Linked DNA regions of Stegostoma tigrinum. The protein of the gene in region 1 purifies or fractionates together with the protein of each later gene. This does not show direct contact. Links are inferred from orthologs where the notes say so. Each region holds a gene or a part of one and is shown in the gene's direction. Other genes may lie near its edges.

Region 1 (7,025 bases):
GCCTCCAATCTTACTTCTTTAACTGCGAGCCTAACCTTCCCTCTACTGACCACTTCTCCTGCCTCCAACACAAGCCCTCCTCTTGGACACCACCCCAAGGCCTCCTACCCTCCCTCGAACTCTTCACCTCCAACTGTCGAGACATCAGTCGCCTCAACCTGTCCACCGTCCTCACCCACTCCAACCTCCCCCATGCAGAACGTGCAGCCCTCCACTCCAATCCCAACCTCACCATAAAACCCGTGGACAAGGGAGGTGCAGTTGGAGTATGGCAGTGACCTCTACGTGGCTGAGGTCAGGCACCAACTCTCCGACACCACCTCCTACTACCTCCTGGATCATGACCCCATCCCCGAACACCAAACCATCATGTCCCAAACCATCCACAACCTCATCACTTCAGGTGACCTCCCACCCACAGCCTCCAACCCCGCACCGCCCGCTTTTATCTCCTTCCCAAAATCCACAAACCTGCCTGCCCTGGTCGACCTATTGTCTCCGCCTGCTCCTACCCCACCGAACTCATCTCCACCTATCTGGACTCTATTTTCTCCCCCTTGGTCCAGGAACTCCCTACCTACGTCCGTGACACCACCCACGTCCTCCACCTACTCCGGGACTTCCAATTCCCCGGTCCCCAACAACTCATTTTCACCATGGACATCCAGTCCCTATACACCTGTATTCCGCATGCAGATGGCCTAAAGGCCCTCCGCTTCTTCCTGTCCCGCAGGCCCGACCAGTCCCCCTCTACTGACAACCTCAACCACCGAGCCGAACTCGTCCTCACCCTCAACAACTTCTCTTTTGATTCCTCCCACTTCCCTCAGACAAAGGGGGTGGCCATGGGTACCCACATGGGCCCAAGCTATGCCTGCCTCTTTGTAGGTTACATGGAACAATCGCTCTTCCGTACCTACACTAGCCCTAAACTCCACCTCTTCCTCCCTTACATCGATGACTATATTGGCGCCAGCTCATGCTCCCACGAGGAGCTTGAACAGTTCATCCACTTCGCCACACGTTCCACCCCAATCTCAAGTTCACCTTGACTGTCTCTAACACCTTCCTCACCTTCATGGACCTGTGTCTCCATCTCAGGCAACGACTTAGAAACCGATATCCATTTCAAGCCCACCGAATCACACAGCGACCTAGAATACACCTCCTCCCACCCAACTTCCTGCAAAAATGCTATCCTCTAATCCCTATTCCTTTGCCTCTGCCACAAGTGCTCCCAGGATGAGGCATTCCAATCCGATACATCTCAGATGTCCTCATTTTTCAAGGACGGAAACTTCCCCTCTGCAGTGGTCCAGAACGCCCTCAACTGTGCCTCCCACAATTCCCGCAACTCATCGCTCACACCCCGTCCCCACAATAACAAGTAAAGAAGAATCCCCCTCATCCTCATGTATTACCCCACCAACCTCCGGATCCAACGCATCATCCTCTGACACATGCACCATCTGCGATCCAACCCCACCCAAAGACAATTTCCCTCCCCAGCCTTGTCTGCTTTCCAGAGGGACGACTCTCTCTGTGACTCCCTTGTCTGCTCCACACTCCTCTCCAACCACACCACACCCAGCACTTTTCTCTGCAACCACAGGAAGTGCTACACTTGCCCCCACACCTCCTCCCCCACCCCTATTCCAGGACCCAACAAGACTTTCCACATCAAGCAGATGTTCACCTGCACATCTTCCAATGTGGTATACTGTATCTGCTGTACCCATTGTGGCCTCCTCTACATCGGGGCTACCAAGCGGAGGCTTGGGGACCGCTTTGCAGAACACCTACGCTCAGTTCGCAATAAACAACTGCACCTCCCAGTCGCGAACCATTTCAACTCCCCCTCCCATTCCTTAGACGTCATGTCCATCCTGGGCCTCCTGCAGGGCCACAACGATGCCACCCGAATTTTGCAGGAACTGTAACTCATATTCCACTTGGGAACCCTGCAGCCCAATGGTATCAATGTGGATTTCACAAGCTACAAAATATCCCCTCCACTACCGCATCTCAAAACTAGCCCAGCTCATCCCCGCCTCCCTAACCTGTTCCTCCTCTCACCTATCCTGTCCTCCCACCTCAAACTGCACTCCCATTTCCTACCTACTTACCTCATCCACCCCTTGACCTGTCCGTCCTCCCTGGGCTGACAAATCTCCTCCCTACCTCCCCACCTACACTCACGTTTACTGGCTCCATCCCGGCCTCTTTGACCTGTCTGTCTCCTCTCCACCTATCTTCTCCTCTAAAGATCCGCTTCCCCCTCTCTCCCTATTTATTTCAGAACCCTCTCCCCCTCACCCTTTTCTGATGAAGGGTCTAGGACTGAAACGTCAGCTTTTGTGCTCCTGAGATGCTGCTTAGCCTGCTGTGTTCATCCAGCTCCACACTTTGTTATCTTGGGTTCTCCAGCATCTGCAGTTCCCATTATCTCTCTCTCCGCACCTTGCTATCTCGGATTCTCCAGCAGTTCCTATTACCCCCTTCTTTACACCTTCTGGGTACAGATCGAACTTAACAGCAAGCAACAGAACATTGCCAAGCCCGAATGTCCTCTCTACCACGACCCTAGATGTGGGGCATGGTGAACGTTTGCACTTTGAAAAGTATGCCGTAAGTTATCAAGCACTTTGGGATGTCCCACGACCAAAGGAACTCTGCCCACGCCAATAAACGTTATCTGGGACGCCCAGAAGATGAAAATAAGAGATAATAAAGTGTGAAGCTGGATGAACACAGCAGGCCAAGCAGTATCGCAGGAGCACAAATGCTGACGTTTTGGGCCTAGACCCTTCATCAAAGAGGGGGATGGGGTGAGGGTTCTGGAATAAATAGGGAGAGAGGGGGAGGCGGACCGAAGATGGGGAGAAAAGAAGATAGGTGGAGAGGAGAGTATAGGTGAGGAGGTAGGGAGGGGATAGGTCAGTCCAGGGAAGACGGACAGGTCAAGGAGGTGGGATGAGGTTAGTAGGTAGGAGATGGAGGTGCGGCTTGGGCTGGGAGGAAGGGATAGGTGAGAAGAAGAACAGGTTAGGGAGGCGGGGATGAGCTGGGCTGGTTTTGGGATGCAGTGGGGAGAGGGGAAGAACTGGGCTGGTTTTGGGATGCAGTGGGGGAAGGGGATGAGCTGGGCTGGTTGTGTGATGCAGTGGGGCAAGGGAAGATTTTGAAGCTGGTGTAGTCCACATTGATACCATTGGGCTGCAGGGTTCCCAAGCGGAATATGAGTTGCTGTCCTGCAACATGCGGGTGGCATCATTGTGGCACTGCAGGAGGCCCATGATGGACATGTCATCGAAAGAATGGGAGGGGGAGTTGAAATGGTTCGCGACTGGGAGGTGCAGTTGTCTATTGCAAACTGAGTGGAGGTGTTCTGCAAAGTGGTCCCCAAGCCTCCGCTTGGTTTCCCCAATGGAGAGGAAGCCACACCGGGTACAATGCATACAGTATACCACATTGGCAGATGTGCAGGTGAACCTCTGCTTAATATGGAAAGTCATCTTGGGGCCTGGGATAGGGGTGAGGGAGGAGGTGTGGGGGCAAGTGTAGCATTTCCTGCGGTTGCAGGGGAAGGTGCCGGGTGTGGTGTGGTTGGAGGGCAGTGTGGAGCGAACAAGGGAGTCACGGAGAGAGTGGTCTCTCCGGAAAGCAGACAAGGGTGGGGATGGAAAAATGTCTTGGGTGGTGGGGTCGGATTGTAGATGGCGGAAGTGTCGGAGGATGATGCATTGTATCCGGAGGTCGGTGGGGTGGTGTCTGAGAACGAGGGGGATCCTCTTTGGGCGGTTGTGGGGTGTGAGGGATGTGTTGCGGGAAATGCGTAGACGCGGTCAAGGGCGTCCTCGATCACTGTGGGGGGGAAGTTGTGGTCCTTGAAGAACTTGGACATCTGGGATGTGCGGGAGCTGAATGCCTCATCGTCGGAAGAATTGGGAATAGGGAATGGAATTAAGCGATACACACTCCCACCGTTTACGCAGATAACGTGTGACGAACCCCGCCGTGTTTACGTCAGGCGGTGTGGTGACGCATGTCGGCCGGGAACCGGAGCAACGGTGATTTCGTGAAAGCGCGCGAGTGAGACAGACAAGCAGCGAGAAAGAAAGATGCCTCGGGTTTACATCGGTAGGCTCAGTTACCAGGCCCGGGAGCGGGATGTGGAGCGGTTCTTCAAGGGCTACGGTAAAATCTTGGAGGTGGACATAAAGAACGGGTGAGTCAGACAGTCGGACACCAGCGAAGAAAATGGCGTCTGTGCGGCGAACGCCCATCAGGTCCCTCGCCACGGTGGAGGCCCCGGACCCTGTGGCTCCAATCGTACTCCTCCCTATTCAAAAAGGGGAGAAACCCGCCTCTCTCTTTTTCCTTTTCTCTGGGAATTGGGTGGTGGGCGAGGAAACGGGCTTTTCTTGATTTCTCTTTGTCTTTGTTGAGGCTGGAGGTGCGTCACGAGCTGCAGAGGCATTGCCGCCCCTCCCCCACGGTGCGCGCTGTTGATGTGCACGCGCTCCTATTCCCCCTGCGTGCGCGCGTCCACCACTATTGTACGCGCTCCGGGTGCTGCGACACTTCACTGCGGGACATTTTCTATCTCTGCTGTTTCTATCGGAACGTACTGTGATATTGGAAGGGGAATCCCGTTCAACTCTGGCTGGGCGGCTGGTTTGCAATGCCCAAGTAACTCCAATACTATGAGTTCAAATCTCAGAGGTTACCATGAACACTGATGCTCAAACTCTCCCCGCGGTCTGATAATACTGTGGCAACTACAAGATAAACGCCTCCGTCCTAAATAGGAGATAACAAAGTGTGAAGCTGGATGAACACAGCAGGCCAAGCAGCGTCTTAGGAGCCCAAAAGCTGACGTTTCGGGCCTAGACCCTTCATCAGAGAGGGGGATGGGGAGAGGGAACTGGAATAAATAGGGAGAGAGGGGGAGGCGGACCGAAGATGGATAGAGGAGAAGATAGGTAGGAAGGGGATTGGCCGATGAGGTTAGTAGATAGGAAATAGAGGTGTGGCTTGAGGTGGGAGGAGCGGATAGGTGTGAGGAAGAACAGGTTAGGGAGGTGGGGAAGAGCTGCGCTGGTTTTGGGATGCAGTGGGGGGGAGGGGACGAGCTGCGCTGGTTTTGGGATGCAGTTGGGGGATGGGAGATTTTAAAGCTTGTTAAGTCCACATTGAGACCATTGGGCTGCAAGGTTCCCAAGCAGAATACGAGGTGCTGTTCCTACAACCTTTGGGTGGCATCATTATGGCACTGCAGGAGGCCAGGATGGACATGTCATCTAAGGAATGAGTGGGGGAGTTAAAATGGTTTACGACTGGGAGGTGCAGCTGTTTATTGTGAATCGAGCAGAGGTGTTCTGCAAAGTGGTCCCCAAGCCTCTGGTTGGTTTCCCCAATGTAGAGGAAGCCACAACGGGTACAGTGGATGCAGTATACAGCACTGGCGGACGTGCAGGTGAACATCTACCGCACTTGCAGATGTGCAGGTGAACATCTACCGCACTGACTCACCCCATCCCAGGCCCCAAGATAACTTTTCATATCAAGCAGATGTTCACCTCCACCCCCTGCCCCACTGCATCCCAAAACCAGCCCAGCTCGTCCCCGCCTCCCTAACCAGTTTTTCCTTTCACCTTCCCCTCCTACTTACTAACCTCATCCCGCCCCCTTGACCTGTCCATCCTCCCCGGACTGACCTATCCCCTCCCTACCTCCCCACCTATACTCTCCTCTCCACCTATCTTCTTCTCCATCCATCTTCGCCCTGCCTCCCCCTTGCACCCTATTTATTCCTGAACCTTCTCCCCGTCCCCCTCTCTGAAAGGTCTCGGCCCGAAACATCAGCTTTTGTGCTCCTGGGATGCCTCTTGGCCTGCTCTTGTTCATCCGGCTCCACACTTTGTTATCTTGTAGACTGATGTGATGTTGGTTTTCTTTGTGTTGCTACAACATTTTGCTTTTGCCTGAATTATATGCAGCAGGGTATGAATGTTATTTTCCTGCCGGGTGCTCTGGGAGTTTTTACCAATTGGGTAAACTATTGAAGGAGAGATAATGGGAACTGCAGATGCTGGAGAATCTGACATAAGAAAGTGTGGAGCTGGGTGAACGCAGCAGGCCCAGCAGCATCTTAGGACCACCAAAAATGACATTTCGGGCCTACCCCCTTCATCAGAAAAGGGGAGTGGGGAGAGGGTTCTGAAGTAAATAGGAAGAGGCAGATTGGAGAGGAGAGTATAGGTGGGGAGGTAGGGAGGGGATAGGTAGTCTGGGGAGGACGGACAGGTCAAGGGGGCGGGATGAGGTTAGTAGGTAGGAAATGGAGGTGTGGCTTGAGGTGGGAGGAGGGGATAGGCGAGAGGAAGAACAGGTTAGGGAGGCGGGGATGAGCTGGGCTGGTTCTGGGATTGCAGTGGGGGGAGGGGACGAACTGGGCTGGTTTTGGGATGCGGTGGGGCAAGGGGAGATTTTGAAGCTTGTGAAATCTACCTTGATACCATTGGGCTGCAGGGTTCCCAAGCGGAATATGAGTTGTTGTTCCTACATCCTTCGGGTGGCATCGTTGTGGCACTGCAGAAGGCCCAGGATGGACATGTTGTCTGAGGAATGGGAAAGGGAGTTGAAATGGTTCGCGACTGGGACGTGCAGTTGTTTATTGCGAACCGAGCATGTGTTCTACAAGCGGTCCCTAAGCCTCCGCTTGGTTTCCCCAATGTAGAGGAAGCTACAGCGGATACAGTATACCATGTTGGCAGATGTGCAGGTGAACGTCTGCTTGATGTGGAAAGTCATTTTGGGTCCTGGGATGGGGGTGCGGGAGCTGTTGTGGGGGCAAGTGTAGCACTTCCTGCAGTTGCAGGGGAAAGTACCGGGTTGGAGGGGAGTGTGGAGCGGACAGGGGAGTCACAGAGAGAGTGGTCCCTCTGGAAAACAGACAAGGGTGGGAATGGAAAAATGTTTTTGGTGAGGTTGGACTGCAAATGGTGGAAGTGTCGGAGGAT
Region 2 (8,016 bases), on another chromosome or scaffold:
ATTACATAGCACTAAGTCCAGAATAGCCTGCTCCCTTGTGGGCTCCATCACAAGCTGTTCCAAAAAGCCATCCTGCAAACATTCCATGAATTCTCTTTCTTTGGATCCACCAGCAACATTATTCACCCAATCCACCTGCATATTGAAGTCCCCCATGATCACTGCGTCCTTGCCTTTCTGACATGCCCTATTTATTTCTCGGTGCATCTTGCGCCCCTGGTCCTGATCACTGTTTGGAGGTCTGTACATAACTCCCATTATAGTTTTTTTGCCTTTGTGGTTCCTCAATTCCACCCACACAGACTCCACATCTTCTGACCCTGTGTCATTTAGTGCCATAGATTTAATTCCATTCTCAACTAACAAGGCAACCCCACCCCCTCTGCCCACCTCCCTGTCTTTTCGATAAGTTGTGAATCCTTGGATGTTTAACTGCCAGTCCTGAGGTCCCTGCAACCATGTCTCAGTGTTGCCTACCACATCATAATCATTCAAGAGGATTTGTGCCGTTAATTCATCTACTTTGTTGCAAATACTACAAGCATTTAGATAAAGTGTCTTAATGCTGGCTTTCTTATCATTATTAGAGGGGTTGGAAATCCCAAGATGTCTTAAGCTATCCTTCCTTTTTGCTGTATTCCTAGTCTGCCTCGAGCTTAAATCCTTCTGTACACATGCTATCCTGTTGCTTATCTTTCCATGTAACTCCATATTCCCTGTGACTTTCACTTTCCCTTCCCCCCCGACTCAGAAGTTTAAAGTCCTACTGACCACCCTATTTATCCTTTTCACTAGAACACTGGTTCCAGATCGGTTCACGTGGAGACCGTCCCAACGGTCCAGGTCCCCCCGGTTCCAAAACTGATGCCAATGTCCCATGAAATGGAATCCCACTTTCCCACACCAATCCCTTAGCCACGTGTTTACTTCCCTAACTTTCTTTTCCGTATGCCAATTGGCACGTGGCTCAGGCAGTAATCTGGAGATTATGACCCTTGAGGACCTGTACTTTAATTTCCTTCCTAGTGCTTCATAATCCCTGACCAGGTCCTCTACCCTAGCTTTGCCTATGTTGTTAGTCCCAACGTGGACCACAACAACTGGATCCTTCCCCTCCTGCTCCAATATCCTTTCAAGCCGGTCCAAGATGTCCTGCACCCTGGCACCGGGCAGGCAACACACCATGAGGGACTCCCGATCCGGCTTGCATAGGATACTATCTGTCCCCCTAATTATAGAATCCCCTATAACAACTACCTGTCTTTTTGCTCCCCGCTCTTGAATGACCTTCTGCGCCACAGTGACATAGGCCATGAGTCTAACAATAAAAAATACGTTAACAATAATTTCAATTCACAATTCTCTCATCAATTGTTCTGGGCAATATATCCAACTGAATTATTCATACCATTCCTGTATACACATCCTCTCTCCATCATTCTCCCTGCATTTCCTATTTCTCTCCCAGTTGCTTCTACTCTCTTTCAATGATCCTTGTCCCATCAGATTCTGTCCCAACATTTTGTGCCTGAATTCTGTACACCAGTCCCCTGTTTAATGATTCTATTCCCAGTGTAAGTTTATTCAATGGTGAAATCTCTGCAAACATCTAAATATGTTAAAAACCCGATTCTAGCTTATACATCAAGTCTAATGGGAAAATCTGATTCACTTGCTTTCCTTAAAGTTGCACTTTTCAGGAACACAACTATGATGCAAAGTCAGGAATTGCTGATCAGCAACACCATCTTGTTGACTCAATCCATAATGTCATGGATCCCAAAGCTAACAACTCATTTGTGTCACCGTCTGTGGTAAATTAACTGATGACAGCTGAAATGGCAGTTCTATTCTCAAACTGGTCATTTAGACCGCAATCCAGCAATGTATCTTGGAAGAGTCTGGTGTGAACGGTGGATTTAGAGGTGATCTACCTGTGCTGAAAAATCTCTCAACACACAGGGATGGTTACTTGAGTGACAACCATAAGGTGGCCCACCCTCTGTAAAATTGTAACTGAGCAGAGAATTGGTACTTCAGGAGGGGCAAAACAGGGAAAACATGAACAGTAAATAGTCACTGATGAAACTAGAAAACCACAGTACAATACCAATTCAGTCATGTTTTAAATAGCATTTCATTGTTATAGAACATAGAACATAGAACAGTACAGCACAGAACAGGCCCTTCAGCCCACAATGTTGTGTTATGTAAGCTAATGTGTACTATGAAATCCAAGTCATCAGTAAAATAAACTTCCAATCTATTAGTCTTCAAAACATTCCTTGCACTTACGTGTTACACAGCATAGACCACATAATATTTCACTATTTGCTGAACAAACCTTATTTCCATAGGAACTGGTTCTTAAAATGCCATCATGCCATTTCTTTGCTTTTCTTGTTTTTTGATTTGTATACAGCACCTGAAATTAAAAAAAACAAAGGCTGACTCTTCAAATGATGGATGCTCTTTGCAGTAAAAATCTGTTTTTCGAACTGCTACATAGCAGAGGTTCCTGTAAATTTCATAACAATTGAAGACAATGCATCCAAGAGTGAGCAAACAGAAGGAAATAAGCAGTGGAATCTGGTCTGTCAAATAAATATTGCACCTGGTACACTGCAATGTAAAAGGTAATTTTAACAAAAACTTTAAACTTTAAAATGAATTTCAATTCATCAATGAATATAAGCAAGTAGGCTGATGTTTCAGGCCTAGATCCGTTTCTGAAGAAGGGTCTAGGCCCAAAACGTCAGCCTTCCTGTTCCTCTGAAGCTGCTTGGCCTGCTGTGTTCATCCAGCTCTACACTGTTTTATCTCAGATTCTCCAGCATCTGCAGTTCCCACTATCTCTAACACAAGCAAATTTGTTTTACTTACAACAAACTCACGGCAAGACATTTTGTTTTGTCTTTTCCAATTACCAGGTCATCTGCATCATGATGCAATTGTATCTGCCATAAATAAACAAACAGGAATGTTATGTGCATATCTGTTCAACAGTTATTTCACAAAAGGCTGACTAAGGCATTTGACTTGCACTGCATCATTCTGAATGTGCCTAGCACAGGGATCCACACAGAAACCAACAACGAGGTTCAGTGAATAAAGCTCAATCCTCCCGTTTATGATAAAATGCCATATGATGAATTTAGAATTCCAGTTTGGATGCTCCCTAATGGGTAGATGAGCAATTAGTTGAGTGAATTAGATGGGTCAGTGGATGATGTGGGTAAATGGAGTTGGGAAGGCAGGTGCAAAGATAGATAAGATAGGTAATTGTAGGACGGAGGAGAATAGATGGCTGTAGAGAATGGATCAAGTCAGAAGGATAGTTGGGTGTAATGTGGTGGTAGTTGGACCAGCTGTATGAAATACTGTGACTACAACAGCAGGTCAGAGCCTAGGAATTATGCGGCAAGTATCTCACCTCCTGTCTCCTCAATAGCTCTCCATCATTTACTAAGCACAATTCAGGAGAGTGAGGGTATATCATTCACCTGCCTGGATGGGTGGAAAACAGTTAAGAAACTCAAAACCATCCAGGACAAAGCAGCACATTTGTTTTGCACCTAAATGCACCACCTTCAACACTCACTGTCTTTACCAACTGATATCCGCCCAGACTGCTCAACCTTTCCTTCAAAGACAATACCTTCATTCCAGGTGTCAATCAAATGGATTTCCTGTACTGTCACCAAAGCAAGTCAATGATTCCTTAAATAAGATCAAAACTGTACTCAGTACTGTAGATGCATTCTCACCAATGCAGTGCTCAATTTGGTAAAACCTCTTTTACACCCCATACCCACTACAGTAAAGGCTAATTTTTACTTACCTTCTGAATTACTTTCTGTATTATACCTGCATGCTAACTTTTATAGAAACATAGAAGATAGACTCAAGAGGAGGCCATTTAGCCTTTCGAGCTGCTCCATCATTCTTCACGATCATGGCTGATCATCCAACTCAACAGCCTGATCCTGCTTCCTCGCCAAAACCTTTCGTCTCATTCACCCCAAGAGCTATATCTAGTCGCCTCTTGAATACATTCAATGCTTTGGCCTCAATTACTTCCTGTGGAAATGAATTCCACAGGCTCACAATTCTTTGGGTGAAGAAATGTCTCGTCATCTCCATCCTTTCTCATCTACCCCGAATCCACATATTGTGACCGCCGGTTCTGGACACACCCACTATCGGGAACATCCGCCCTGGATCTACCCTGCCCAATTTGGATAGAATTTTATTAGTCTCTTTGAGATCTCCACATCATCCATCTGGACTCTAGCGAAACAATCCCAACCTAGTCAATCTCTCCTCATATGTTAGACCCGCCATCCCTGGAATCAGTCTGGTGAACTTTTACTGCTGACAACACCTCAATCTCTCTGTATTGCAGCATTCTGCAGTCTTTCTCCACGTAAATACTCTGCTTTCTATTTTCCCAGCAAATTGGGAAACCACTTATTTTCCACGTTGTATCAGCCAATTTGTTGCCCAATTACTTAATCTATCTACATTTCTCTGCAGACTCAATGCATCCTCCTCAAAACTTGCTTGCTCATTTTTGAATTGTCAGCAAATCTGGCTTCAACACACTCGATCCTTTCATTCAAATCACTGATGTATGTTGCAAACAGATAAGGTTTCAGTCCTGAGCCCCGCGGCACTCCACAACGTAACTGAAACTGACCTATTTAATCACTTTCTCTTTCCTAAAAGTTAGCTCATCCTCTGTCAGCATGGACCAGTTGGGCCGAAGGGCCTGTTTCCGTGCTGTACATGTCTATGGCTCTAAAACTCAGTCAGAACAGGATTTAACTGACAGCAACGATCAGACATAAGTAACAAATAAAGCACACCTCAGAATTACCATCTCCGATTCGGTACCTTGGGCGGGGGGTGAGGAAAAAAACGCAAGTAGCATATTCGAGCTCAAATTTTTCAGCCAAATCTCGAATGTTCCCGCCGCAGTACGTCATCAAACCGCGACACAATTACCCGAGCTCCAATAAACAAAGTGAAAATGGTGCGAGCAAAAACTGGTCATGTTTGCTGTTAATGTTATAGCGAGTAGATGGGGGAAGAAAAAAATAACAATTCAATCCAAATAAATAAAAGATAGCAAAAACAAAAGCTCACAGTCGGAATTTGGAGAAATTGGATCATAAGGTACTTGCTTTCTTTTTTCTGTATTTGAATTGATATGAACGGTGCAGCATATGATATTTATTTAGTTTGATACACGGTGTTGCTGCTGAGTACTCTGAGGTTTGGAACGTTGTGCAGGTGGCCAGAATGTGGCTCCTTCCGGGTCTGGGCGCTGCTCGCATTTTAATGCCATAAAGTCAGGGATAGCATCGGTAGGCTGCACTCACTCTCGTTCACACGCACTTCTCTCGGGGGGTTTAAACACGCAGAGGGTAAGTAGCAACATCTTTACACGCATTTGACCTAGTGGGGTTCGCAAGCGTGTGTGCAAAATGAACATCCTACCCCTTTGGATGATAACTGCTTATATTCCACTCACATGAGCCATAGACTGTTATCATCAAGCACCCTATTTACTCCAGACCCACTTTCCGGCGCTTAGTCTGTATCTTTGTATGTAATTAGCGATTCATGTGATCATCCAAATGCTGTTTAAATGTTGAAAAGGTCCCATTTCTACCACTCTTTGATGTGATGAATTCCCGATATCCATTACCAAGTCTTTAGATGCCCTCTGAACCTCATGCTGCTCACTTCAAATGCATGCCCTATGTAGTTGATCCATCTACTAAGAGGGTAGGTTTCTTCCTGTCTAGCCTATTTACGCCCTTCCTTTTTGTACTCCTTCAGTCCTTTCTGCTCAAAGGAAAACAATCCCAGCTTGTCCACTTTTTCTTCTTACCAGAAATGCCCCAGCACAAGCAACACTCTTGAATTTCCTCTGCACCCTCTGAAGAGGATTCAAATCCCCTTGTATTCAATGTTTTGATTAATACACGCAAGCATCCCATACACCTTCTTGCCTGCCCTAATGCCTTTCTGAATCTGTAGACCCTTCATAGGGTCCTAGCTTTTCACATTTACTGCTTTGCCCTTGTCAGTATTTCAAAATGCATAATTTCACACTTTTCAGGATTAAATTTCATTTACCATTATTCTGCCCATCTGACCAACCTATTTATAACATCCTGTAATCCAGTTGTCTTCCTCACTATTTAGCGCAACATCAATAGTGTCACCTACGGACTTACTGATGAAACCTTTTAGATTCATATCTTGACAATTAATGTACAACACACACAGCAAGAGGCCCAGCACTGAACCCTTTGGTATGCTGCTGGACATAACCTTCCAGTCACAAAAACAACCTTCAACTACTATGGTCTGTCTCCTGCTTCTAAACCAGTTTTAAATCTGATTTGATAATATATCATTAGTTATTTTGAATTTTCAGCATGGTTTTTTTTTGAGCCCAAATTGTGGCCTTTATTCATTTTTCTCTTGCCACTTTTAGCCTCTGTTTACATGACTAAATTCAAATGGTTTCAGTTTTAACACTGATATATTTCTGGTCTTTTGGGTAGCTGGGATATGATGACATCCTTCCAGGTTGAATTATTGATTCCTGTTCATTACTTAAATTAGAAACTATCATCCAGTGATTAGTGACCAAATTGAACTTTTTGCACCTATGTTGATACCAATAAAAAATGGCCTGTTTTCCAGTAGTTTGATTGAAGGAGAACTGTTGGTTTTCAGAATGAAGGAGGACTTTGAAAAATACCATGAGATCTCGTATGTCCACCTGAGGGGGCAGGTTGAGCCCCTTTTAATGACACCTTCCATGTAATCTGTCTTTAATTATTGGTGTAGATTTTGCTGTTCTGTTCTGTGGAGCAAAGGTTTTAACCCACAACCTCCTGACATGAAGGTGAGAGACCTATCACTGGTTAAGACTGAGATGATGCCACTGTACGTTGTTAAACCAGCTTACCAAAAGTTAAGGACAAAACTGATTGCGAGTATTGATAGGAACGTGCACTAACAATCAGCTGTTCCACCCAGCCACCAAAAGTATAGTTGTCGGTATCATAGCCAATATCTGATACGTGTGGTTGTAAAACAACAATTTCTGCTGTCACCTGTTGGGCAGACTCAGTTTTTGTGTGTGTATACAATCATGAACACTTTTAAGAGAACAGCAACTAATGCTTTAAAGATAGTAGGAACTGCAGGTGCTGGAGAATCTGAGATAACAAGGTGTAGAGCTGGAGGAACACAGCAGGCCAAGCAGCATCAGAGGAGCAGGAAGGCTGACGTTTCGGGCCTAGGCCCTCCTTCAGAAATGGGGGAGGGGAAGGGGGTTCTGAAATAAATAGGGGGAGGGGGCGCCTCCCCCTCTCTCCCCATTTTTATCTCTATCAATTTGATAACATCACATCTCCTTCTTACGGCAGGGAGAGTTTAAGATTTGACAGATGTGTTCAAAATCATGAATTGCTTTGATAGTGTGACCAATGAGAAACTGTTGTGAATGGCAAAGGGTCTGTAACCAGACAGCACAGATTTAAGACGAATGACAAATGAGCTAGAGGCAAAGTGAGGGAGCATTTTTACACAGCTAGTTGTGATCTGCAATGTCTGAAAAGATAGATACGTAGTAACATTCAAAAGAAATTCGAAATAAATGTTTGAAACAAAAAGTATTAACAGAACTGTTGCGGAAGAGTAGCAAGTGAAATTGATTAGCTCTTATGTAAGCACAATGGGCTGAACAGCCTGTTGTGCTGCAACTTGAGTTTAAGTAGAAGTTGTGAACTTGTAGCATTGATTTACAGCATAGTGAAGTCTTCTTTGTTAGAAATCATAGAATGAGAAGGGTATCTGGAAGACAGGATTTGATATAATGTCTTATTTTCTTTTTTATTACCATCTGCTCCATCATAACTTATGTTTGACCTGTTTATTATTAAGTCACTGTTTGCAAGTTTCCATGTCTGGATGTGGTATGGAGAGTGA

The links. Proteins that work in one complex are often made in the same cells at the same time.
Region 2: the proteins of serine/arginine-rich splicing factor 4-like (region 1) and larp7 purify together in Homo sapiens (affinity purification with mass spectrometry; 3 studies listed by BioGRID and IntAct, with this or other methods). This does not show direct contact. The link is inferred for Stegostoma tigrinum from reciprocal best matches to the Homo sapiens genes SRSF4 and LARP7.

What each region holds. Positions count from the first base shown.
Region 1 is NC_081377.1:38,215,860-38,222,884, forward strand, and holds the start of serine/arginine-rich splicing factor 4-like, read left to right. Parts: upstream 1-4,017; 5' UTR 4,018-4,121; coding exon 4,122-4,228; exon of another isoform or gene 4,229-4,514; intron 4,515-7,025. UniProt on the Homo sapiens protein: Plays a role in alternative splice site selection during pre-mRNA splicing. Represses the splicing of MAPT/Tau exon 10.
Region 2 is NC_081354.1:63,786,563-63,794,578, forward strand, and holds the start of larp7 (la-related protein 7), read left to right. Parts: upstream 1-5,002; 5' UTR 5,003-5,178; intron 5,179-8,016. Other genes in the region: protein ZGRF1-like, read right to left, coding at 2,345-2,425, 2,884-2,904. UniProt on the Homo sapiens protein: RNA-binding protein that specifically binds distinct small nuclear RNA (snRNAs) and regulates their processing and function.